5 linked regions of the Macaca fascicularis genome follow. The protein of the gene in region 5 binds, or shares a complex with, the protein of the main gene of each other region. Links are inferred from orthologs where the notes say so. Each region holds a gene or a part of one and is shown on either strand. Other genes may lie near its edges.

Evidence for each region.
Region 1: POLR2H (region 5) and UBTF share a complex: the UniProt entries of both Homo sapiens proteins name them as parts of the pol I pre-initiation complex. The link is inferred for Macaca fascicularis from reciprocal best matches to the Homo sapiens genes POLR2H and UBTF.
Region 2: POLR2H (region 5) and TAF1B share a complex: the UniProt entries of both Homo sapiens proteins name them as parts of the pol I pre-initiation complex. The link is inferred for Macaca fascicularis from reciprocal best matches to the Homo sapiens genes POLR2H and TAF1B.
Region 3: POLR2H (region 5) and GTF2H5 share a complex: the UniProt entries of both Homo sapiens proteins name them as parts of the TBP-based Pol II pre-initiation complex. The link is inferred for Macaca fascicularis from reciprocal best matches to the Homo sapiens genes POLR2H and GTF2H5.
Region 4: POLR2H (region 5) and POLR1H share a complex: the UniProt entries of both Homo sapiens proteins name them as parts of the pol I pre-initiation complex. The link is inferred for Macaca fascicularis from reciprocal best matches to the Homo sapiens genes POLR2H and POLR1H.

Annotation. Positions count from the first base shown.
Region 1 is NC_088390.1:65,276,593-65,281,220, forward strand, and holds the start of UBTF (nucleolar transcription factor 1), read right to left. Parts: upstream 2,970-4,628; 5' UTR 2,543-2,969; intron 2,191-2,542; exon of another isoform or gene 2,076-2,190; intron 1,255-2,075; exon of another isoform or gene 1,197-1,254; intron 832-1,196; exon of another isoform or gene 501-831; intron 438-500; exon of another isoform or gene 297-437; intron 1-296. UniProt on the Homo sapiens protein: Recognizes the ribosomal RNA gene promoter and activates transcription mediated by RNA polymerase I (Pol I) through cooperative interactions with the transcription factor SL1/TIF-IB complex.
Region 2 is NC_088387.1:112,232,195-112,237,007, forward strand, and holds the start of TAF1B (TATA box-binding protein-associated factor RNA polymerase I subunit B), read right to left. Parts: upstream 2,970-4,813; 5' UTR 2,863-2,969; coding exon 2,845-2,862; exon of another isoform or gene 2,634-2,844; intron 1,165-2,633; coding exon 1,066-1,164; intron 1-1,065. UniProt on the Homo sapiens protein: Component of RNA polymerase I core factor complex that acts as a GTF2B/TFIIB-like factor and plays a key role in multiple steps during transcription initiation such as pre-initiation complex (PIC) assembly and postpolymerase recruitment events in polymerase I (Pol I) transcription.
Region 3 is NC_088378.1:66,517,203-66,522,064, reverse strand, and holds the start of GTF2H5 (general transcription factor IIH subunit 5), read right to left. Parts: upstream 2,970-4,862; 5' UTR 2,924-2,969; intron 1,446-2,923; 5' UTR 1,408-1,445; coding exon 1,373-1,407; intron 1-1,372. UniProt on the Homo sapiens protein: Component of the general transcription and DNA repair factor IIH (TFIIH) core complex, which is involved in general and transcription-coupled nucleotide excision repair (NER) of damaged DNA and, when complexed to CAK, in RNA transcription by RNA polymerase II.
Region 4 is NC_088378.1:142,602,586-142,607,511, forward strand, and holds the start of POLR1H (DNA-directed RNA polymerase I subunit RPA12), read right to left. Parts: upstream 2,970-4,926; 5' UTR 2,943-2,969; exon of another isoform or gene 2,934-2,942; intron 2,818-2,933; 5' UTR 2,808-2,817; coding exon 2,663-2,807; intron 2,417-2,662; coding exon 2,316-2,416; intron 2,109-2,315; coding exon 1,999-2,108; intron 1-1,998. UniProt on the Homo sapiens protein: Core component of RNA polymerase I (Pol I), a DNA-dependent RNA polymerase which synthesizes ribosomal RNA precursors using the four ribonucleoside triphosphates as substrates. Can mediate Pol I proofreading of the nascent RNA transcript.
Region 5 is NC_088376.1:96,289,689-96,292,460, reverse strand, and holds the end of POLR2H (DNA-directed RNA polymerases I, II, and III subunit RPABC3), read right to left. Parts: intron 2,335-2,772; coding exon 2,251-2,334; intron 1,335-2,250; coding exon 1,217-1,334; 3' UTR 920-1,216; downstream 1-919. UniProt on the Homo sapiens protein: DNA-dependent RNA polymerase catalyzes the transcription of DNA into RNA using the four ribonucleoside triphosphates as substrates.

The DNA of each region.
Region 1 (4,628 bases), on a different chromosome or scaffold from region 5:
GGGAAGAGGAAGGGCGGGTAAAGGGCGCGCGCGGCCACGGAAGCGGGCACGCGCCCCAGTCTCCTCCTCCCGCCTCCCCCCAGCCGGTTCCCCCCGCCTCCGCAACCCGGCGGGGACCCGGACGCAGCGCAGCCGCCGCCAGCCCCGGAGCGCAGCGGCCGCACCGCCCCCGGGGACCGGATCCGGATTCCCGCCGCTCCCCCCTCCCGGGCTCCCTTCGCCGTCCCCGCCCGCACAGGCGGGCGAGCAGCCGGAGAGAAGCGGCCTAGCCTGCCCCCCGCCCCCGAGCCACCCACCCCGGCCAGAGGCGCCGCCACCACCCAGCCACCCCGACGCGCACGGAGGAGCCCGGCACAGAGGCGCGACCGCGGCGGGAACCGCCGCCTCCTCCCCCGAGCCTGCGGCCCAGCCCCGCCGGCGCCCCCGCCCCGGCCTCCGGGGAGCCGAGCCAAGGAGAGGGCGGGAGGACGGCGGCCGGGAGGCGGGGGCGCAGCGCTCACCGGCCCCGCCGCCCCCTCCGGCGGCCGGGGAGAACTGCGCCTGCCGGATCCGAGAAGCGCGGGCTCCTCCGCCAGCGGCCGTGGCTCGGCTCAGGCCTCGCTTCCTGCCTTCCCCTCCCCCGGCTCTCGGCGTCCTCCCAAGTGCCCTGGTCTGCTCGCGCCCGGTCCCCTGCTCGGTGGTCGCTCCGGGTCCCTGCTGGGCGCCCACCGCAACCCGCGGTTCGCTCCCTGCTGTCCGGCCCCGAACCCAGCGCGCGTCCTCAGCCGCCTCGGTTACCCGGCGCAGCGCGGCCTCCGGGCTTCCCGCTCCGGCGGCTCCCTCCCCGGCTCTGAGTGGCGGCGCCCTCCCCCGCTCGGCCGGGCACAGCCGCAGCTCCCTCCCGCGGCGGCAGCGGCTCCTCCTCCGGGCGAGGCGGCGGCGCTGGGGCGGCGGCTGCTGCTGCTGTGGCGGCGGCGGCGGCGGCTGTGGCTGCTGCCTGCTGCTCCTCGCGGCGAAAAGCACAAAGCACAGCGCCCTCCGCCTGCAGGCAGCCCGCCCGCCGCCGGCCCCGGCCTCAGCTCGCACACCCCCCGCCGCCGCCGCAGCCTCAGCCGCCGGAGCGGGGAGGAGGAGGGAGAAGGGAGGAGGAGGAGCGGGAGGGGGGGCGGGAGAAGCGGGGCAGCGAGCGCGTCCTTCCCCGTAGAGCGCACACCGACCCCCGGGGAGCGAGCGCCAGCCCGCCCGCCTCGCCGGCTCCGCTCCCTCCCACAGCCTGCCCGGGCGGGCTCCGCGGGGGGCAGCTGGGAGGAGGGGCGGGAGCTGGGGGGACCCGGGCGGCCGAGGCGGAGGGAAGGAAGGAGGGGAGGGGGGTGGTGGTGGTGCTGGTGGCGGCGGCGGCTGCTGCTGCTGCTGCTGCCGCCGCCGCCGCCGCCGCCGGGGAAGGGGGGGGCCGGGGCAGGGAGACACGCAGCCGCCCGGATGGCGGCGGGGCTCGGAGCCGGGGCGGGCGGGCGGGCGGGCGCCGAGAGCGACCTCGCCAGACCCGCGGGGGAACTAGCAGGCTTTGCCGGCGCGGGAGGGAGGGCCGAGGCGCGGCCGCGGAGAGGGTGCCCGGAGGGGCCCCCGGCGGCCAGGAAGGCTTGGGGGGCGCCCACAGCCCTGCTCCGGAGCTCTCCCCCAAGTCCTCCCAGCTCAGACTGGGGCTTCCAGGCCAGCTCTCTCCCGCCTCCCGGAGCGAGCGGTCCGCGCCCACCCTCATCCCCCGGAGCGTGGCCACTGGTTTGGGGCGCACGCACGCCGATCGCGGCGTCCAGCTTCGGCGCCTACCTCGCGATCCTCTCATTGCCGAACGGTACATAGGAAACTTTAAAAAAACCCAAAACCGAAAATCTCTGCATTAAAAAAAAATCCCCGTTGCTCTTTACACCCCGGAAACGGCGAGGGAACGACGGGCTCCGGCGGAGGGGCCGCTGTGGGAGCCGGTTCAATCCAGCCCGGCATGGCTCCCAGGCCTGCCCGGGCGCATGGAGATCGGTGCCGCCGCCACTCGTAGCAACCCCTCTCCCCCGAAATCCGCGGCGCCCGGGCTCACTTACCGAGCGTGTGGATGGGAGCGCAGGCCGGGGGCACCTGGGAGCACGGCGGGCGGAACAGCCGAGCCGCAGCTCCGCTGCAGCCGACGCCGGGGCAGCGAGTCGCCAGACAAAGCCCGAGATGGCGAAGCGGAGCGACGGCTAATGGCGAGCCCCACGCGCCGCGCTCCGCCCGCCCCGCTCCGCCCGCCCGCCCGCCCGCCTCGGCGCAGCGCAGCGCCGCTCCGAGCGCTTGCCCGTCAGAGCCGCCTCGGCGCCGCCGCCTCCCGGGCCACCCCGGCCTCGCCTGGCCCCTCCGCCTCCTCCGGGCGGCTCAGCCTCACCCCTTCCCTCCCACTGCTTTAGGGGTTGCACAAAAAAAAAATTTTTTTTTAAGTAAAATGGTTTTCTTCCTTTTTTTTCTTTTTTCCTTTTTTGCAGGGCGGGCGTGTTGAGACTTTTGGATCTTTCTGCCCGCAGCTCGCACTCACCTGCGGAGCCGCCGGGAGGGCTAGGGGTGGGGGCGCGCGGGGCTGGAGCCGGCGAGCGCGGGTTGAAAGCCAGCCAAGCTCTGCAGCGCCCGACCCGGGCGTGTACGCCGCCGCCAGTCCCCGCAGAGAAATCGTCCTCCTACCCCCGCCTCCATCGCTCTGCGTTTCTCTTCCAATCAGCCGGTCGCTTGGTGGCTCCTCCATTCTCCGGCCAAGCCCAGCTGCCTAGAGCGAGCTCCACTCCTCCATCTGTTCGCCGGGGTCCTCGCTCCCCTGCCGGGGCTGGCGAGGCGGCGTGAGGCCGGAGGGGGATTTGCAAGGAAACCTGCCTGCTTCCCGCTCCCATTGCTCCATCCCCGCTGCCTCCTGCCTCCTGCTTCTCTCCTGCGTCTTTCCAACTCTCCCCTGTCGCCACTGGTGTGTGTCTGAGTGTGTGCGCGGTTTTTTTTTTTTTTATTGCTCTTTGCTTTTGCAACCCTGAAGCAAAAGGGAGGGGGGGTAGTTACAGGGGAAAAAAAAAAAAAGCGAGAAAGAAGCTCTTAGATTTGCAACACATCGGAAAACCGAGGGAGCACCCCGCCTTATCCGATCTCCATGCTCCGCGAGGGCCTTCCGGGTTTTAAAAGGACGAGCTTATCAATGTCCCCCTCTTCGCTGGGTTTAGGATCCGAGGAGTCCGAGCAAAAAGTTCTCCCCCTGGGTCGTAGTGAGGGGTGTCAGGGTGGGAGTTGCGGGGATTTTTCAAGAAGAAGCGGCTATCCTTCCTACCCCGGCGTCGGTCACTGGGCGGGGGTAGGGGAAAGAGCAAAATCCCAGTGGGTTTGCGCGAGGGATCTTCTGGGGTCGAGGCGGCGGGGGGAGTCGGAACCGGGAGACACCACTTGGCGCATCTCCCCCTCGGTCTATACCTCCTGTCTTTTGCCAGCTCCCCCTTTAATTTTTTTTCTCTCCTTTAATCTAATTTCTTCCAACTCCACCTTTGTTGTTACCGGCGTCACGCCCGGACCAGCCAATCCCCGCCACGCAATCAGCTTGTCAAAAAGCCTCGGCCGGCCCTGGGAAAGCAGGCCGCAGGCGCTGCCCCCCGGCGGCGGCGGGCAGCCGCGAGGGGAGCCCAGCACCCGGTTCTCGCTGCTCCGGGCGGCAGCGGAGCAGCCTCCGACGAGACGTCTCCCGGTTCACTAAACTGCAGGCCGGGGATGAAAGGCCTGGACGGGGTCCACCACCCACCCTCCCACTACCATGGCTGTGGTTGTCTGTCTTTGCCTCCCCTTTTCAGAGGAAAGGTTATCAGGACAGGACGCAGGGAGCCAGAAGACCATCTGAAGGAAGCCTGCTTCCAGCAGGCCCAGCCTCCAGCCACCGCTTCTGGGGCAGCGCCATTGCTCCTGGCTCTCAGGCTGCCAGTCTCCCACACCGAGGCTCTACTTCCCGCATCTCGGCCAGCTGGATCACCCAGCCCCTTTCGACTCTCCCCTGGCATGCAGCCTTCTCCTCCACTCGGCCTGCCTCTTTGCTGCTGTAATTCCTCTTGTCTCCTGGGAGAAATGAGATTGTTTTCCCAGGACTTCCAGATCCCACTTCTGTCACGTTTCACAAACAGGGAGGAAGCCCTGTCAAGATCTGGTGTGTCCTGTTTTTGTTTGTTTGTTTGTTTGTTTTTGGGGGCACTGGCATATAGGAGAGGCGGATTTACCACTCGTAGATTAATTTCAGCTTCTAGGCCCCTAACTTTGAGGACCTGCCCAAGACCCTGAACTTAATTTTGTTTTCATTTTTTTTTTTTTTTTTTTTTTGTCAAAAGAGCCACCGACCACCTACCCCTCACCCCGCAATTGCACATGTTTCTGGCCTTACAAACCCAGATTGGCCCTTGGAATATACACAGGGCAATTTGTGTAGGATCACACTGCACTAAAAGTGAGGCATGGTGGGCTAGGCGTACTGGCTCACACCTGTAATCCCAGCACTTTGGGAGACCCAGACAGGAGGTCTTAAGTGATTAAGCCCAGGAGTTCAAGATCAGCTTAGACAACATAGCAAGACCCTGCCTCTACAAACACACACACACACCCTATTATAATAC
Region 2 (4,813 bases), on a different chromosome or scaffold from region 5:
TTTCCACAGAGGAGAGTCCTGGCCACATTTAGCCCGTCTACTAGCAGACTCTCTACACCCTTGATTATTTTGGTGATGCTGGCCTGCAGGTGTGTTCACCACAATAGGACCTAGCCCTCACAACGTGAAGGTAGCCTCCTTTACCAAGGTTACACAGGACAGTATGACAAGATGGGTAAAATGAACGCTGAAGTCAGAAGACTCATATTCAAGTCCTGGAACTTGGGTAACTTTGGCAAACTCACTCAAATTGTGAGCCCTATCAATAGGCTCTCACATTGGTGATGAGGAGGAAATGAGATAATGAATCCAAAAACACTTTGTAATCTGTACGGTACTATACAAAGATAAAAGGATAATGAAGTGTAGTTCCAACATTCCCAACAGTCCTTAAGCTTTTTTTTTTTTAGATGGAGTCTTGCTCTGTTGCCCAGGCTGAAGTACAGTGGCGTGATCTCATCTCACTGCAACCTCTGCCCCCAGGTTCAAGCAATTCTCCTGCCTCAGCCTCCTGAGTAGCTGGGACTACAGGCGCATGCTACCACGCCCGACTAATTTTTGTATTTTTAGTGGAGACGGGGTTTTCCCATGTTGGCCAGGCTGGTCTCGAACTCCTGACCTCAGGTGATCCACCTGCCTCAGCCTCCCAAAGTGCTGGGATTATAGGCATAAGCCACCGCGCCCAGCCCAGTCCTCAAGTTTTCTAACATTCCATCTTCCAAACCTCTAAGCCACCATGACACATTTTAAAAATGTAAATAAGTACTAATAAAAAGAAATGCATCATCTTCTAAGTACAATTTTAATTATTTCCCTCAACCATATACTCTGAATAAGAAATCATTTATAAATGTGGCCCAACATAATTTCAAAAACTCATCCTCAATCTAATTCACAAATCCCTTAACCTATGTGTAAGTACCCAAGACCACTCACATCCTTGGAATGTTGGCATTGCACGAGTGACAAAAATTAACCAAATTCTTTGGGACTTAGACTACATAGCAGGTTGAAATAGTAATTTTTAAAACATAAGCAAACTCATAAATGGTATTTGTTACTTACCTCTGTAACATTGTGGCAAGAAGTGCAATAATATTTGCCTTCATCAGTAAGGCCCCATGAGACAGCAGCACACTGACTGCAGCGTTCTTTAAACTCTTCCTATGGGAGAAGAGGACAGAAAAGGTGTTCCCATCAAGCCACATTCAATACATCGTACCTAAACCCTGCAGTTCTACTTAGTGTGTTCCTTGCAACTTTATAAACAAAAAATCATACACAATAGAAAATATATCAGAGAGATTATCTGCAAACAAGGAGAGGAGCGGTATGAAATCGAATTAAACTGCTGGAGAAAATTTATTGAAATATGCAATGTGAGAGGAAAAATAAAGAAAAGGAGGTAGTAGGGGTAAACTGGAACCAAAGATGAGTAAACAAAGCTCCTTGAAAATTCTGTGAGAAAGAAGATGACAAATAAGTATAGAGAAGACTTTAAAAATGCAAATACCATTTGGAACTCCTCCAGGACACTAAAAGCGCATACCACAGAGGAACTAGATTTGTACTGGTTTCCAGTTTCGATTTATCCACTGGGGAGCATAAAGAGTATCAACTCTGGGTGTACTAGGCTTTTTACTAAGTGCTGGGGATTCAATGGTGAGCAGAACAGACCAGACATGGTCCCTAGTCTGGGGATACACTAGCTAATGGTGAGTTACAATGATTAATTTCATCAGCCTAGCATCTACAGAAGTTAGCCAACCATCATTCAATAAACATTTTTTAAGCCCGTATTATAAGGCCGTACTGCTTCCGTATATACAGGCCTAATTCTCTGATTCCCAACTCTTTGGAGTTTGACTTGTTGTTAGCGTTGATCTAATTATCAAGTACCATTTAATACCATCAAAGTGTGTGCCATTTGCCATTTGGCCGGGTGCGGGGGCTCATCCCTGTAATCCCAGCACTTTGCAAAGGCTGAGGCAGGAAGATCGCCTGAGCCCAGGAGTTCAATACCAGTCTGGACAACATAGCGAGACCCCTGCCCCTACCAAAAAAAAAAAAAAAAAAAAATTAGCCGGGAGTGGTGGCGCACCTCTGCAGTACTAGCTAATTGGAAGGCTGAGGCGGGAGGATCTCTCGAGCCCAGGAGGTCGAGGCTGCAGTGAACCGTGATCGTGATGTGCCACTGCATTCCAGCCTGGGGGACAAAGTGAGACCTTGTCTCAAAAAGAAAAAAACAAAAATGTGCCATTTTACGTAGCACCTAAAACAAAAAAAAAGTGCATGCCAAATTAATTTTGGCAACTTGGTAAAGTGTTCAATGACCCCGTACTAACACTACGATAAATGACAGCTGGAAAATTGGGGGAGTTCCCAAACCCGAATTCAGAATCCCTGCAGGAGACAGCGGCGAGGATTCCCGGAGAGACCGACAGGGGTTACCCGGGGGCATCTCAGGTTCCAAACCCTGCTCCCCCTTCACCCACCCCAGCATTAAAGGGAACTTGTGGGTGGTCCAGTCTAGAGGATGAGCCCTGTGGGTGGCCACCCCACAAAACCCACAACTTCATCCTTAAACACAAACATCCATAACGACAAACCCCACACCCTCCCTCGCCCACAACCTCGCCGAGCCAGAAACTCCAGCCTCTTTACCAACGCCGCCCGCGCATGCGGCCGGCCAGCGCCCAGTCGTCACCCCGCCCCGCAGCCCTCCGCCCCGCCTTCCTCCAACCGGTGGCCGCCCCAACCCGAGGCGTTCTCCGCCGCTCCTCCTCAGCTTTTCTCCCCTCCGGCCCCGGCAGTAGGGGCCCGCCAGGCGCACCGCCTCCTTACCGCCTCCTCGAGGTCCATCGGGGCGCCGCGGAAGCTTCACAGCCGGGACCCGTTACCCGGGTAGCGAGCGCAGCTTCCGGGAGAGGCGGGAGAAGCCCTACGGCCGGAAACGCGAGATCCGAGCCGAGGATTCCGTGCGCCTGCGCGGCAGGGAACCAGCGCCCCCGGGAACCAGCGCGCCCGGGGGCGAGGCTCCGCGAAGTCCGCAGCCCCCTCGCGGACTATCTTCGTTTCCTACTCTTGAGAACCAAAACCAACCAATAAGAAAGTGGGCGACGCCTACTGCTGAGTGATTCGATCAAGCTCCGTTCCGAAGGTCATTCATTCCAAGGCCGGCTTGCTCGTCTGGCTGCTAGGGGCCGCGCAAGGCCGAGCTCGCGAGCGCGGTTTCTGTCCTCCGTGGGCTCCGCCCTCTGTGGGTTCTGCCCTCCGGGTCTCATCCCTCGCTGGCTTTTTTAAGGGGAAGCCTCGGGACTTGGAGGAAAGCTCACGGGCCGTGAGTTAGACCTAGGTTTCCAATCACGGCTCTCCTGCTTACTTGTGCCTCAGTTTCCTCCTCTGTAAGAATTAGATGTTATCTGTGAGCCCCTTATAATTGAGTCTCCGCCAGGCGTGGTGGTTCACGCCTGTAATCCTGGGGAGGCTGAGCTGGGAGGATTGCTTGAGGCCAGGAGTTGGGCAACAAAGCGAGACCCCTTCTCTAAATAAGTAAATAACTGAATAAATAAATGCATGAGTGAATATAATTGAGTCTCAGTAACTGCTCAATAAATTTAGCTCTTATTGTTTCTTCATTTAACACATTCATTCCTTGTTTTATTTATTAAACAGGAACTGGTTTCGGTCCGGGGGATTCAGCAGTAAACAAAAGTCCTTGCCTTCGTGGAGATTCCATTCTGATGGGGAGAGACAAAAATAAATGAGGAAAATATGTGGTATGTTAAATGGTGGTGAGTGCCAAGGAGAAAAAGAGGAGAGTGGTTTCAGTCTGAAATGGGATGTTCAAGAAAGATCTTTTGATATAATCATATATCTCAAGAAGTTAGAAAAAAGGTTAAACTGAAAAATAATGGGATGAAGGAAATGTTTAAAAAAGAGAAAGCAAGCTTCGATAGAGAGGCTCCACAGAGGCTGTGGTGGCTGGTGCCTGTAATCCCATCACTTTGGGAGGTGAAGGCCAGAGGATTGCTGGAGGGCAGGAGTTGGAGACCAGCCTGCCCAACATATTGAGTCCTCATCTCTATAGGCTGGAGTTCAATGGCACCAACTCAGCTCACTGCAACCTCCACCTCCCAGGTTCAAGCAATTCTCTTTTCTGCCTCAGCATCCCAAGTACCTGGGATTACAGGCACGTGCCACCACGCCCAGCTAATTTTTGTATTTTTAGTAGAGACGGGGTTTCACCATGTTGTCCAGGCTGATATCGAACTCCTCACCTCAAGTGATCTGCCCGCCTCGGCCTTCCGAAGTGCTAGGATTACAGGCGTGAGCCACCGCGCCCAGCTTAAAAGATATTTTTTAAGAAAAGAGTCTCGACAAACTAACATTAACTCTTTGAAAAGACTAATACATTCGATAAACTCTGGAAAGATTGATCGAAAAGAAAAGAAGAGCCCAGCTTGGTGGTGCACACCTGCAGTCCTAGCTACTTGGGAGGATGAGACAGGAGGTTTGCTTGAGCCCAGGAGCTCAAGGCTGCCGTGAGCTATAATCAGGCCACTGTGCTTCAGTCTGAGCAATGGAGCAAAGAAAATCAAAGTAACTGATAACGGTGGCATCACTAACCAATATGTAGGGGCATCACTACAAATACCACAGACATTAAAAAGATCATAAGGGGATATTCTGAACAACTCTAGGCCAATAAATGTGAAAATTCAACCAATTTTTTTTTTTTTTTAAAGACAGAGTCTCGCTCATTTGCCCAGGCTGGAGTGCAGTGGTGCAGTCTCAGCTCACTGCAACCTCT
Region 3 (4,862 bases), on a different chromosome or scaffold from region 5:
AAATTTTTGCTGAAGCACTTGCCAAACCAATTGTGGCAACTGTTAAACCAGAGGTCTGCTCCAGCATCTGGAACTGGACACAGACATACTGTGGTCATGTGTTGCTTGCTTTGGGAATTGCTTGGGAGGCTAGACTTGGGAGAATACTTACTGTGAGCCTGGCAGTTAATGGTGGATCCCAACAAAGAGGAAGTTTTCACCAACCTTTCAGTTTTGACATAAAAATGTAAATTTATAAACATAAAACTTTTTTTTATAGCCTTCAATTTTAGTATGTGATAAGCCCTTGGGAGTTAAGAATTTAACTATATCCAAGTGCCCTGATTTTTCAATTCACTGAAGGTCAGAATAAATGGCCATCATCATAATTTGGTTTACTTCTTTAGCAAATCTCTGCAGACTTAAAAATCAGTTAAACATAACTGATAGAAATGGAGCTTAAATATGGCAGTAAGTGAAGCCAACTTAAGATATATGTGGAACAGCACTATATAAGTTATTACACATTAGCTTATATTAATACAATGATGGGACTGGAATTTGGAGAGATTCAAATTGGAGAGATTCCTGGGACAGTGGAAGCAGCTGTGAGATAGGAATTCAGCAGAACTAGTTTCTAAGACAGGAGAGACAGTAAACAACAGGTCAGAAGACCCGACTGATAAGCGAGGATACAGTAAAGAAACCAGCCAGAACCAAGATGGTGACAAAAGCAGCCTTCACCACTATCATACACTAATCATAATGCATGAGCTTATGTTGTTGGCAGTGTCCAAGGGTTTGGTCCTTCTCCTCCTCAGCTTTGCCATCACAGTAAACAGTATCATTATCCATGCACTGGCTCATATTAGAGGCACAGAAAGGTAGACAGTAGTATTTTCAGACAATGGGAGTGTCCACAGAGCAGGGTTCCTAGACATTGGATTGCTTTGAGGACCTCAACCCTGCCCATTTATGGTTTTTAGTTTCTCCTCTGGAATGTATCTAAAGGAATTTAAGAAACCTTCTCCACTTGGCTCTCTTGTTTTTCTCTTTAAAGTCTACAGTTTGTAATGGTAAAGACTTAAGCAAGTTCCTGAACTCTTTCAGGACCTAAAATTCTAGTCATGTTTGAGGAGAATGCAAGCACTGTTCCTCTAAAGATGACTCATCTAACAAATATGCTGCCTCTGATCATGCCAGTTCCATCAATTCAACAGAGGGACTGAAATCTGGCACTAGGAACTTTGCAACAAAATCTGTGCCACTTGTTAAAAGTGAAAGACTTGATTTCATTCATATCTTAAAAACAACAGGGTTTTAGAAAGGACACACACGTAAGTCAAGATTCAATATTTAAACTTAAAACTCATGAAGTATCAAAACTACTAACCATTCTATAAGCACTCCTTTCAAGACGTTGACCATGTTTTCTTAGTCAGAAGGTTCAGATGACCTCAAGAATGCTAATAAAAAGAAGAAGGTAACACTGAATTAAAAATCATTAACTTTCATATACTTTGGGGACTGCCTCTGAAATGAGGCAAAATAATTAAGTGTCAATATTTAACAGTTAAGTCTATGAAAGACAGTTAACATTAAGAGACATTCTGATTTTTTAACAAAATTAAAATGAGTCTACTTGGAATATTGCCACATCTTACTTGCCAACCAACTCTACCCAAGGTCAATTAGCCCTAATAGAAGCAAGCAGCCTAACTCTACACCAGTGTGCCCAACCCAGGTGTAAACTGTCCGTTATTCAAAGGATTTCTTTTCCCATTCAGGAGAATGACAAAGGGTAAGATCCTGGGAGACAGGACTCAAAGATAGTTCTGAAAGGTGCTTCAAAAATTACACAGTGAGCCCAACCACCTCCTTTTAGTTTATATTTTATTTTATTGAGACAGGGCTGGCTCTGTCGCCCAGGCTGGAGTGCAGTGGTGCGATCTCAGCTCACTGCAACCTCTTGCCTCCCAGGTTCAAGCCATTCTCCCACCTCAGCCTCTCGAGTAGCTGGGACTACAGGCAAGAGCTACCAAGCCCAGCTAATTTATTGTATTGTATTGTGTATATATATATATACACACACACACATATACTTTGCGACAGAGTCTCGCTCTGTCGCCCAGGCTGGAGTGCAGTGGCGTGATGGCGGCTGACTGCAACCTCTGCCTCCGGAGATCAAGATATTCTCCTGCCTCAGCCTCCGAGCAGCTGGGACTACAGGCGCCCGCCACCACGCCAGGCTAATTTTTGCATTTTTAGTAGAGACGGGGTTTCACCATGTTGGCCAGGCTGGTCTTGAACTCCTGATCTCAAATGATCCACCTACCTCGGCCTCCCAAAGTGCTGGGACTACAGGCGTGAGCCACCGTGCCCGGCCAATTTATTGTATTTTTAGTGGAGACGGGGTTTCACCATGTTGGCCAGGCTGGTCTCGAACTCCTGGCCTCAAGTGATCCACCCGCCTCGGCCTCCCAATGAGCTGGGATTGCAGGCGTGAGTCACCGGGCCCGGCCCCAACCACCTCATTTTACAGATGAGGAGACCAAAGGAAGAGATTAAGCCGTAGTTCCCGGGGAAAGGGGAAAAAAGTACAAGCCAGGTTTCCAGATCTTGTGCCCCTTCACTAAATAAATCACGTCCTGTGCGGACCTAGGCTGGAAAGAAATCACTCAGCGTCCGCCCACTTAACTAACTTCCACTTACACCTGGGCGCAGGGCGAGCCCTAGCCCCACAGGAAACCCACGATTAAACGAGTGCGGAACTGCAGTGCGGCCCCGCCAGGAAGGGCCTGGAGAGAGTGGGGGACACCGCCCTGTGCCCCCAGCACCCGGTGGACAGGCTTCTTGGGCTTTCCTCTTCTTCCCCTCTTTCTTTGGGACCCCTCAGTCTGCCCACACCCCACTTTCCCCAGCCACTCGGACGCTTGCCACACACCTCAGCCCACAGATGCAGAAGCGCCTCGGCGTCGCCGACACAGTGCGCCTGCGCCTATACGTCATCGCGCTAGGGACGCTGTTGTGAGTGGAGCGAACCGGCAGTAGGCGGGCCCGGAGAGGGCCGAGGGGGCGGGGTCATAAGCCGCCCGCCGCCGGGTGGAAGGCCCCGGCCGGGAGCCGAGGAAAGGGGAGGGCTCCCCAGACAACTGGGTCCGGCGAGCAGTTGGGGACAGGTTGAGTCTGCGTGCCGGCAGGTAGGACGTGAAGGCCGGGCTAGTGTGGGGGCGGACGGGGGCGTCGGAGCAGCTGGGCGCGGTGGGGAGTGGAGAATGGGGAGGGCAGTGGCCGGGCACGGCCGGGCGCCACCGTAAGGCGCGCGGACCGGACCGACCCGCTGACGCTCCCCTGGGTGTGAGGGCCTCTCTCTGGTGGTCGCGAGCCTGACTCGTCTTTCCCGGTCGCTGCCTTTCTCTGGCTGCTGTCGAGGCCTCGGGGAGTGCACCTACCGGTCCTTCTTCCCGGGCTCGGTAGTCACGGAGAGATAATGAGGAGGAGGAGGAAAGGGCCTCACCGGTCACTTCTGAGCCTTCCAGACCACCGCTTCCGGCTCCCCCTCTAACCCCAGAGATGGAAACGATTGAATACTGAGAGATCTCTAAATTCGGCAACGGTCATTTAAAAGTGAAAGACCCCAGAAGCTTCTGAAGTGATTCCCTTTCCCCAAATCTGTTCTGTAATCTAAAGGAGCACTCTCATTATTTTTACTAGTTGAGATATGAGATTCTTGTTTTCTGTTCCTTAGGTTAAATTGTACTTCCCGAATTAAGCTCTACCTTCTTTTTTTTTTTTTTTTTTTTTTTTTTTGAGATGGAGTCTCGGTCTGTCGGTCAGGCCGGAGTGCAGTGGCGCGATCTGCGCTCACTGCAACCTCCGTCCCCTAGGTTCAAACAGTTCTCCTGCTTCAGTCTCCCTAGTAACTGGGATTACGGGCGTGCGCTACCACGCCCGGCTGATTTTCGTATTTTTAGTAGAGACGGGGTTTGTCCATGTTGGCCAGGCTGGTCCGGAATTCCTGATATCAGGTGATCCGCCCCCGTCAGCCTCCCAGAGTGCTGGGATTACAGGTGTGAGCCACCGCGCCCGACCTCATACTGCGTTTTTTTTTTTTTTTTTTTTACATCGTGTGTGTTCATGTGATCGCTTAGGAACCCAGCTCTTCCATTTAGTTCCCTCTTTCAATTTGCTTTTTTTCATCTTGCATACATTCTCTTCCTTGACCTCATCAGTTCCATTTTTGTGCACTTGATGTGTGCCAGCTATTATTCTAGACACTTGGGATACAATGGTGAACAAGTAACTAATTTTGGTTGGGGCAGAGAGACACAAATCGGTTAAGGAATAAGTACCATTTGGTGATGTGATAAAGGGTGACTAGAGGGGTTATTTTGGCCGGGGGATGTCAGAAATTGCCTTAATTTCTGCATTTAAAAACCTTCTGTATATCAGTAACAATTAACTAGGAGTTTTAATAATAAAGACACTATTCATAATGGCGTTGAAAACTGAAGTTATCTAGAAGTAGATCAACCTAAAGCTGCGTAGTCCTTTAGACAGAAAATTGTAAGGCTCTGTTGGAACACAAAAGATGACCCAAGTAAATGGTAAGATATACCGTATTCATGGATGGAAAGACTCAACAAAATGATGTCAGTTTTCCTCAATTGTACAAATTCAGTGTGATGCCAATTAAAATCACCATATTGTTTTATGGAACTTGACATGCTGAACTTAAAATTTATATGGAAAGGCAAAGGGCCAAGAATAGTGAAGTCAATTTTGAAGAAGAAGAAAAATAAGGTCTCTATCAGATACCAAAGCTTAATATAAAGTTGTAATTATTAAGGTGGTATGATATTGATTCAAGGAAAGAGAAGTAG
Region 4 (4,926 bases), on a different chromosome or scaffold from region 5:
GAGATCCTGTGCATAAATTTGGGAACTGCAAAAGGCTGCCCTTTTTTGTAAAAGTGAACAACAAAAGAAAAAATTCAACTCTATAGAAGGGGAATTTGACTGTCTCAGTAGGTAGAAAGAGAGAAAACTCTTTCCTGAGAATTTCTAGCCATAAGCTAGCCCTTACATGGATTTGCAGCTCAAATTCATACTATCTGTGTGCTCCAAAAAACATGAAGCCAAGAATTTATTTAAAGTAATTCCAGCTTGATAGTGCTTCAAGGCACCTAGAAAAGAAACACAAATGCTGAGAATACAGCACTTACCCAAGGCCTCAAAGAATTCCTACAGTTCAAGTTCTAAAAAACTCAAATTTATTGTCAAAAATTACAAAACAAAGAAAAAAGCACTATGAGAGAGACAGCAGAAACAGACAGCAGCATCAGACACACAAAATCCATGGATATCAGAATTATGAGACATAGAATATAATAACTATATTTAATATTTTATATATTTAAAGACTAGTAAAAGGAACAATTTAAAATATGATTAAGGAACTGAGAATTATTTAAAAATTGAGATTTGAAAAGTAATTAAATAGAACTCAAAATAATAACAATAGTAAAAAATAATAATATTTGAAATAAACTGAAGACAGAACTAGTGACATGGAAGAGGAACCTGAAGAAATTACTCAGAAGGTGGCATAAAGAGAAAAGCGATTGAAAATATGAAAAGAGGGCGAGAGAAATGGAGGACAGAAGAGAGAAATCTCATTCTAGTAACTAATTAGAGGTCCAGAATGTGAGGACTGAGAACATGGGGGAAAGAGAATATTAAAAGAGATGATGGCTGATAATTTTCCAAGGTTGATGAAAAAAAAATCCACTCTAGGCTGGGCGTAGTGGCTCACGCCTGTAATCCCAGCACTTGGGGAGGCCGAGGCGGGTGGATCACGAGGTCAGGAGATCGAGATCATCCTGGCTAACACAGTGAAATCTCGTCTCTACTAAAAAACACAAAAAATTAGCCGGGCGTGGTGGGGGGCACCTGTAGTCCCAGCTATTCAGGAGGCTGAGGCAGGAGAATGGCGTGAACCCGGGAGGCGGAGCTTGCAGTGAGCCGAGAACACACCACTGGACTCCAGCCTGGGAGACAGAGCGAGACTCCGTCTCAAAAAAACAAAACAAAACAAAAAACAACAATGCACTCTCAGTTTCAGAAAGTCCAACAAATCCCAAACAGAATAAAAGAAAATCACATTTTGATATACTATAGTGACTGCAGAACACCAAAGACAAAGATGAGGTCTTAAAAGCATTCAGAAAGCCCATGTTCTCTAAATCATGTGTGACTAATTCTCTCCAAAGTAAAGCTACCTTGACTGCGGTTGAAGACTGCAGTATAAGACGCTGACCACTAAACAATACTTGCTTCTTATGGTTTTTTTTCTTCATTTCCTTTTAAATATCCTAAAAGAAGGTCAGGCAGGGTGGCTCATGCCTGTAATCCCCAGCACTTTGGGATGCTGAGGTGGGTTGATTGAGCTCAGGAGTTCAAGACCAGCCTGGGAAACAGAGAGAAACCCTATCTCTACTAAAAATACAAAAAACAAAACAAAACAAAAAGCCAGGTGTGGTGGCACGTGCCTGTGGTCCCAAAGCTATTTTGGAGGCTGAGGTGGGAGGATTACCTGAGCCCAGGAGGCGGAGGTTGCAGTGAGCCAAGATTGCCTCACTGCACTCCAGGCTAGGTGACAGAGCAACACCCTGTCCATTTAAAAAAAAAAAAAAAAAACAAAACAAAAACCTAAAAGGTTTATTTCACTGGTTACAAAAAGGGTTAAAAAAGTGTAATTTAAAAAAATAAAAACTACAAATCTCCCTCTTACCAGAACTGCACAGAAATAAGGGATGGGACGAAAGGACACAGCCGTTTAGTACAAAAAAATAAATCACTGGATTTGTTTATTAGTTAGCAAACAGACTGAGCAAAGGGAGGGGAAAGGATACCCACTTGCAGTTGGTACAGGTGTAGAAGACAGTTTGCCCTTCATCGGCTGAACGCATCTGTCTGGTGTGGTATGCCATTCCTTCATGACCACATCGAGGGCAGCGCCTGTCAACCTGGGAAGAAACTGGTGGGTTATGGAGGCCTGGTCATATCATACCCTTACTTCCCACAGGAACCAGGCGATCACGCCTCTCAAACATCGATGCTTTACATCTTTTCCCACTTGGAATTGGGCACAAAACTCTCCAGATCTCTGCAATCACTCCTCCATTTCTTTCCTACCCACCTTATGGAGCCAGTTCTTGATCTCATTAACTTACCACAGGTCCCTGGCACTCAGGCCCTTCCTCCACCGACATAGGCATGGCTGTCCCCAGTTGGTGGAACACAACTGAAGTCTTCACAACCTTCCCCTCAAAGTCTGCACAGGCAAGTAAGACTGGTTATGGAGACAACCTGAGGGAGCTGACACCGGAAACTTCCCCTCTCCCCTGGCTGGTTAGGCCAGGAGGCCCTATATCCTTTCCCTCAGTTTTCATCGCTGGACCAAATGTACAACTGCCTGATGTCCTGCTCTAGGATCCCCTTCTGAACCCAACCTATCTTGAGTTCCCCAAGCTTCCGATCCTGGGCCCTCCGCCAGGACCCCTGTGTACAAGCCTCTCACCCCGAACGTTGATGTTGAAGCCACAGCGAGTACAGGTGACCGTATCCTGAGCCCCGGGCAGAGGCAGGACCGAGCCGCAATCTGAACAGAAATCCAAGTCCGACTGAAAGCTGGAGCAAGTACCGGCGAGGTCCATGACAGACATGCAGTCGGGTCTGAGGAGGGAGTTAGAAGTTTATTAACAAAAGAGAGAAGAGTTCCTGCCCCAGAGTTGGTAACTATTCCGTCCCAGGACGTAGGAGTATATAACCCGAGTCCTCCTCCCACGCACGCCTCCTGCCTCTGCGACCAAGGAGCCGAAACGCCCGGAACTCCCAGACAGCGTCGGGTACTAAAAGGACTTGGAACCCTTTCCTGGGGCCGGCGAGAGGAGCTGGCCAACTCCGTGGGCTAGAGCGCCAGCTCTGCGCCCGCGGCGGGGCAGCGAGCTAGAGCCGGCTAGAGCGTCACGCTTTCACGCTGACGATTGGCTGTGACGTCATAATTAATTGCGAACCGTGTCTCGGAAGCCTTAGAGATGGAGAGTCACCTCTTCTAAGGGAGGTTGGGGCTCAACTTTCAGGCTGGTACTGAGACGTTGAGCACAAAATTGGTAACCAATGCTGCGCTTCCAGCAAATTTTCCCACCAGCACCGAATCCTGGGATATTTATTCTCTGTTTCACATCCTACGGGAACCCAATCGCGGGGGAATATCCTCCTGAAAACCGTACTTTGCTGAATAATGACTTCTTTGGATTAGAGAACTACAACTCCCCTGGGTCCTGAGCTGGTATTTCCCTTTTGCGGCTGCACAGTAGTTAAAAACAAAGCTAAGTGTTCTGGCATGTATAGTTCTAGCGTTCCTTGGGTCCCGCTGGCGAGCGTGGGCTTTCTGCAGAGCGCAGCCGGCCTGTGCTTTGCGGACGGTTCACCGCGCTTGGAAAGGGGTGAGTCGGCTTCTTGAGGGACAGCAAGTGGTGAGGGTGAAGGCCAGAGGAATCCTTAGTCCCACGGGACGAAAGGAAGCAGGGATGAAGTGGGACACTTGAGAAGGGGCTCAGGACTTTGGAGGTGGTAGAACAGAAGAGCTTGGGGCTTCCCCTCCTTCGACTCCTGCCAGATAAGTGAGGCTAGCAGTAGTCAAGAAGCTCATTAAGTAGGATTTCATAAGACTTAGGTCGAGTTTGGCTTTTAGTTGTGCCTGCCGCTTATCGAACTCTTAATTCATTATTCGTCATCCATTAAGTGGACAGCTGACATTTCCCTGATCTTTTATAAAACATGGGAATAAGTTTCTTTCGGAAATCTTGCTATTTTCGTTACTCTGTAACTTATATTCGAAGTAGAAACTTTCCCTGAAGGGGCAGCTTGTCGTTGTTTACTAGTTTCATGCTAGTCCTCCCACCACCACCCACTCTGATAGCTGTGCTAAGTTCCTTCATATGAAAGTTCTGGAGCCATCACTATTTTGTCCTGTGAAGGACACAAGCTGTAGTCTTTTCGCTGGGAGAGGCTCCCATCTGCCTTTCTCTGTGATAATGGAGAGAACACCATAGTTAAAGGGTTAAAACTCAGCAAACTGCTGAAGAGTGACAAGCCCTATCACTTAACTGTGAAATTGCTTGTTATTCTGTCTGACAAAGGGAGATGTGTTGTTGAGCTGATTGTCGTAGACAGTTTTTATTCTCACTTATCTGTGTGTCTCCTTTGAAAATGGAACTTGAAATTCTACCCTTCTCAATTTTCTCTTTTTAATTTGAAAAACACTCACCCAACATCCCCTGTGAGTTGCAGTAAAGAACAAAGCATTGAAAGGCATATCCTTTTCCCAACAGAAGCTCACAATCTATTCAATAAAGTATTTATTGAGCAACTATGCCAGGTTTTGAGCTGAGGCTGAACCTGCAAAGTTGAAATCTGTGTTCTTTGACCTCAAGGAACATGAATGAATAATTAGAATACAATAAAATTGTGCCAGGAGGTGCAAAATGTGAGAGCTCAGAACATACATATAAAGCAAACATATCTGTAAACTTCAAGGAAGACTGGGAAATGATTTAATAAAAAGATAGATACAATGTTATGGCAGATATTTAAAAAGATGCTCAGATATTATGTGTCAAGGATCATCAGCAATCAACAAATCATTAATTTTGAGAATTTGGGATCACAGACTCTAATGTTAAGTACTGTGCTAGAAGCCATGTACAGAGAAGTAAAAGTAAGGTGATCGTATGTTTAAAATCTCAAAATAAGCTTACATAGACAAATAAGAATGTTCCT
Region 5 (2,772 bases):
CTCCATAGTAAGGTAAAAGAAACACCTCTTCCTCCTCCCTGCTGAGGCCATTCATTTTCAACCCAGTTCCCTAAATACGATTTCTAACACCTCACGTAAAGACCTGAAAATGATGGGGAAGGAAATACCCCAGGTATCCCAGCAGGGGAACCAGCTCCCAGGCAAAACCAGATCAAACAGACAACTGTTTAATACACAGAGAATCTCTTTGGATTGTTACCCTAAACTTCCTAGGGGAAAACAGAACCCCATATGCTTTCCTAGAGACCCCTAATGCCAGGCTGAAGAGCCAGCTCACATGCTGAAGGAGTCCTTATCATCAGAGCCATTTCCTTAATGTTTTTCTTCCCCCACTCATAAGTTAGTGACTGTAGTCAGGCCGCCACATTGTCCTGGCTCTGGCCCGCCAGCTTCATTGGTATTGCTGCCCTGTCCACTTCCACTTACCCTCCCTCCCACTGGAATGTAGAGAGCCAGCTCCTCCAGCTGCTTCCAGAACCACCAAGTCCTCTCCTCCTACTCTCTTCATAGTCATCTCCCATGCCTAAAAGGCTAAAAGCCTCTGTGCACATCTTCCATAAAAATAATGAACATTTCTAGACTATGCAAGCGACTCAATCAAGTCAGCGTGAACTGACTTCCTAAGAGCCTGAAAGTGCTGGAAGGACCCGAGCAGGGCTCCTTGCCAATTCAAAATTCCGCGCCAAATGGGTGGTATCTTCTGGGCCTGGGGTACCCTCAGGAGCCAAAAGTACAACACTCTCTCCCAAACGGAAAACCGCATTGGAGGATAAATGTTGAGAACAGTCAGCCAGGAGACTGAGATAACCCTGAACCCAGATACCAAAAGGCTGGAATAGATCCTACATTGACAAGTGATCAGCTGGCTGTGGGCCAGAAACAGTACACCACAGACAAATTGCAAAAAAATGATTTTACAGTAAATGAACTTTTTACAAAAAGGGGAGGGGCAGTCTGAAAAAGTAAAGTTTAATTTAAAAATCATATACACAAAGCTTCTGATTCATTTGCAGCTTTCCCACTGTCTTTCACAGGCGAGTCAGTTTCCCTTTGAGTGCAGGCCAGTTAAAGATGCCACCACAGTGGACAGTGAGCCAGCCCCTCCTCAACAGGTGAGCAAGACTGGCTGCCACTCAGGCTTGAACAATGCCGATGACCTGAGTGACTAGGCAGCAAGGCTGGCTTCTGGCGAGGTTCAGAAGGCTAGCTTCTTCATCAGGAGATAAACTCTGGAATCCACCTCGAATCCATGCAGGTTGTTGGCATCCCCCTGCAGCCTCATGAGCAGGCCCCCATAGGACACATAGGCAGAGCTGAAACAGAAGGCCCCATCCCATGAGTCTGGAGCACTGCTACTCAGCAGCTCTCCATCTCAGCCTAAGAAAAAGAAGAGGCATCTTTCTACTGTTTTGTCACTAGGAACCAAAATTCTGACAAAGATCAAGATATGTGCAAGGCACTGTTCTTTATATTAGCGAAGGTGGAAAACACCTATATGCCCCAAATCAGGGGAATGGTCAAATGAATCAAGATGTATCCACTTACTGAAATGTTATGCAACTATTAAAACATTTAAGAAAAGCTTCACACTAACATGGGGAAACATATTTTACATAATGTTAAGCAAAAAGAGCAGAAGAAAACATAATAAACACCACAGTCTCAAAGGAAAAAACAGAACACCAGGATATGCAAAAAAGTCTATGTAAAAGGTTATCTCTGGGTATGGAATTACAGGTGACTTTTTTTTTTCCTTCTTCACATTACTCTTCTGCATTTCAAATTGCTTACAAAAAGCACATATTGTTTTAATAAGATTTTAAAGAAAAGAAAAAATAGCTGGACAGGAAAACCAAGGAACTAGGGATTGGGTTACAGAGTAGCAAAACACACACACACACACACACACACACACACACACACACACACACACACACACAGCCTAATAGGATAATCACTTAATGCTGCATTTGTTTCTGGAGAAGCAAGTCTCCTTTGCACTTTACACAGTAAGATAACCAGTTTCTCATCTGGACTGCTGGGCCAGGAGGGCCTGACAAAGAGCAGTCTACCTTTCAGACTGGAAACTGCTCTCAGAACCATTTCTTTCTAGTTCCTACCTAGGTCTGAGGTGCCTGAGGAGAGGGACCCAACAGAGGAAGCAGGAGCATAGCTCAAAGTCTCAGAACACAGAGAGGGAAAAGAACCTCATAAGATTATGTAACTTACAGGCGTGTTGCTGCTTCAGTAGAAGTTTCGTCTCCCTCAATCCTGTACACTTTTCCATACATTACATATTCAAATTGGTCAGCCCTGTGGAGCAATAGCAGCAAAGTTATTCTTAACAGTAATTAACAATATAAAAAATCCCATTTAAAAATGGTTACTGGTCGGCTGGGCGCGGTGTATCAAGCCTGTAATCCCAGCACTTTGGGAGGCTGAGGCGGGCAGATCACGAAGTCAGGAAATCGAGACCATCCTGGCTAACACAGTGAAACCCCATCTCTACTAAAAATATAAAAAAATTAGCCGGGCGTGGTGGCGGGCGCCTGTAGTCCCAGCTACTCGGGACTGGCGTGAACCCAGGAAGCGGAGCTTGTAGTGAGCCGAGATTGAGCCACTGCACTCCAGTCTGGGCGACATAACAAGACTCCGTCTAAAAAAAAAAAAAAAAAAAAAAAAAAGGCACATTACAAACAAACATGATGTCATTTAGTCCTCGCAGCAACCCCGTGAGCTAGGCATGATCAT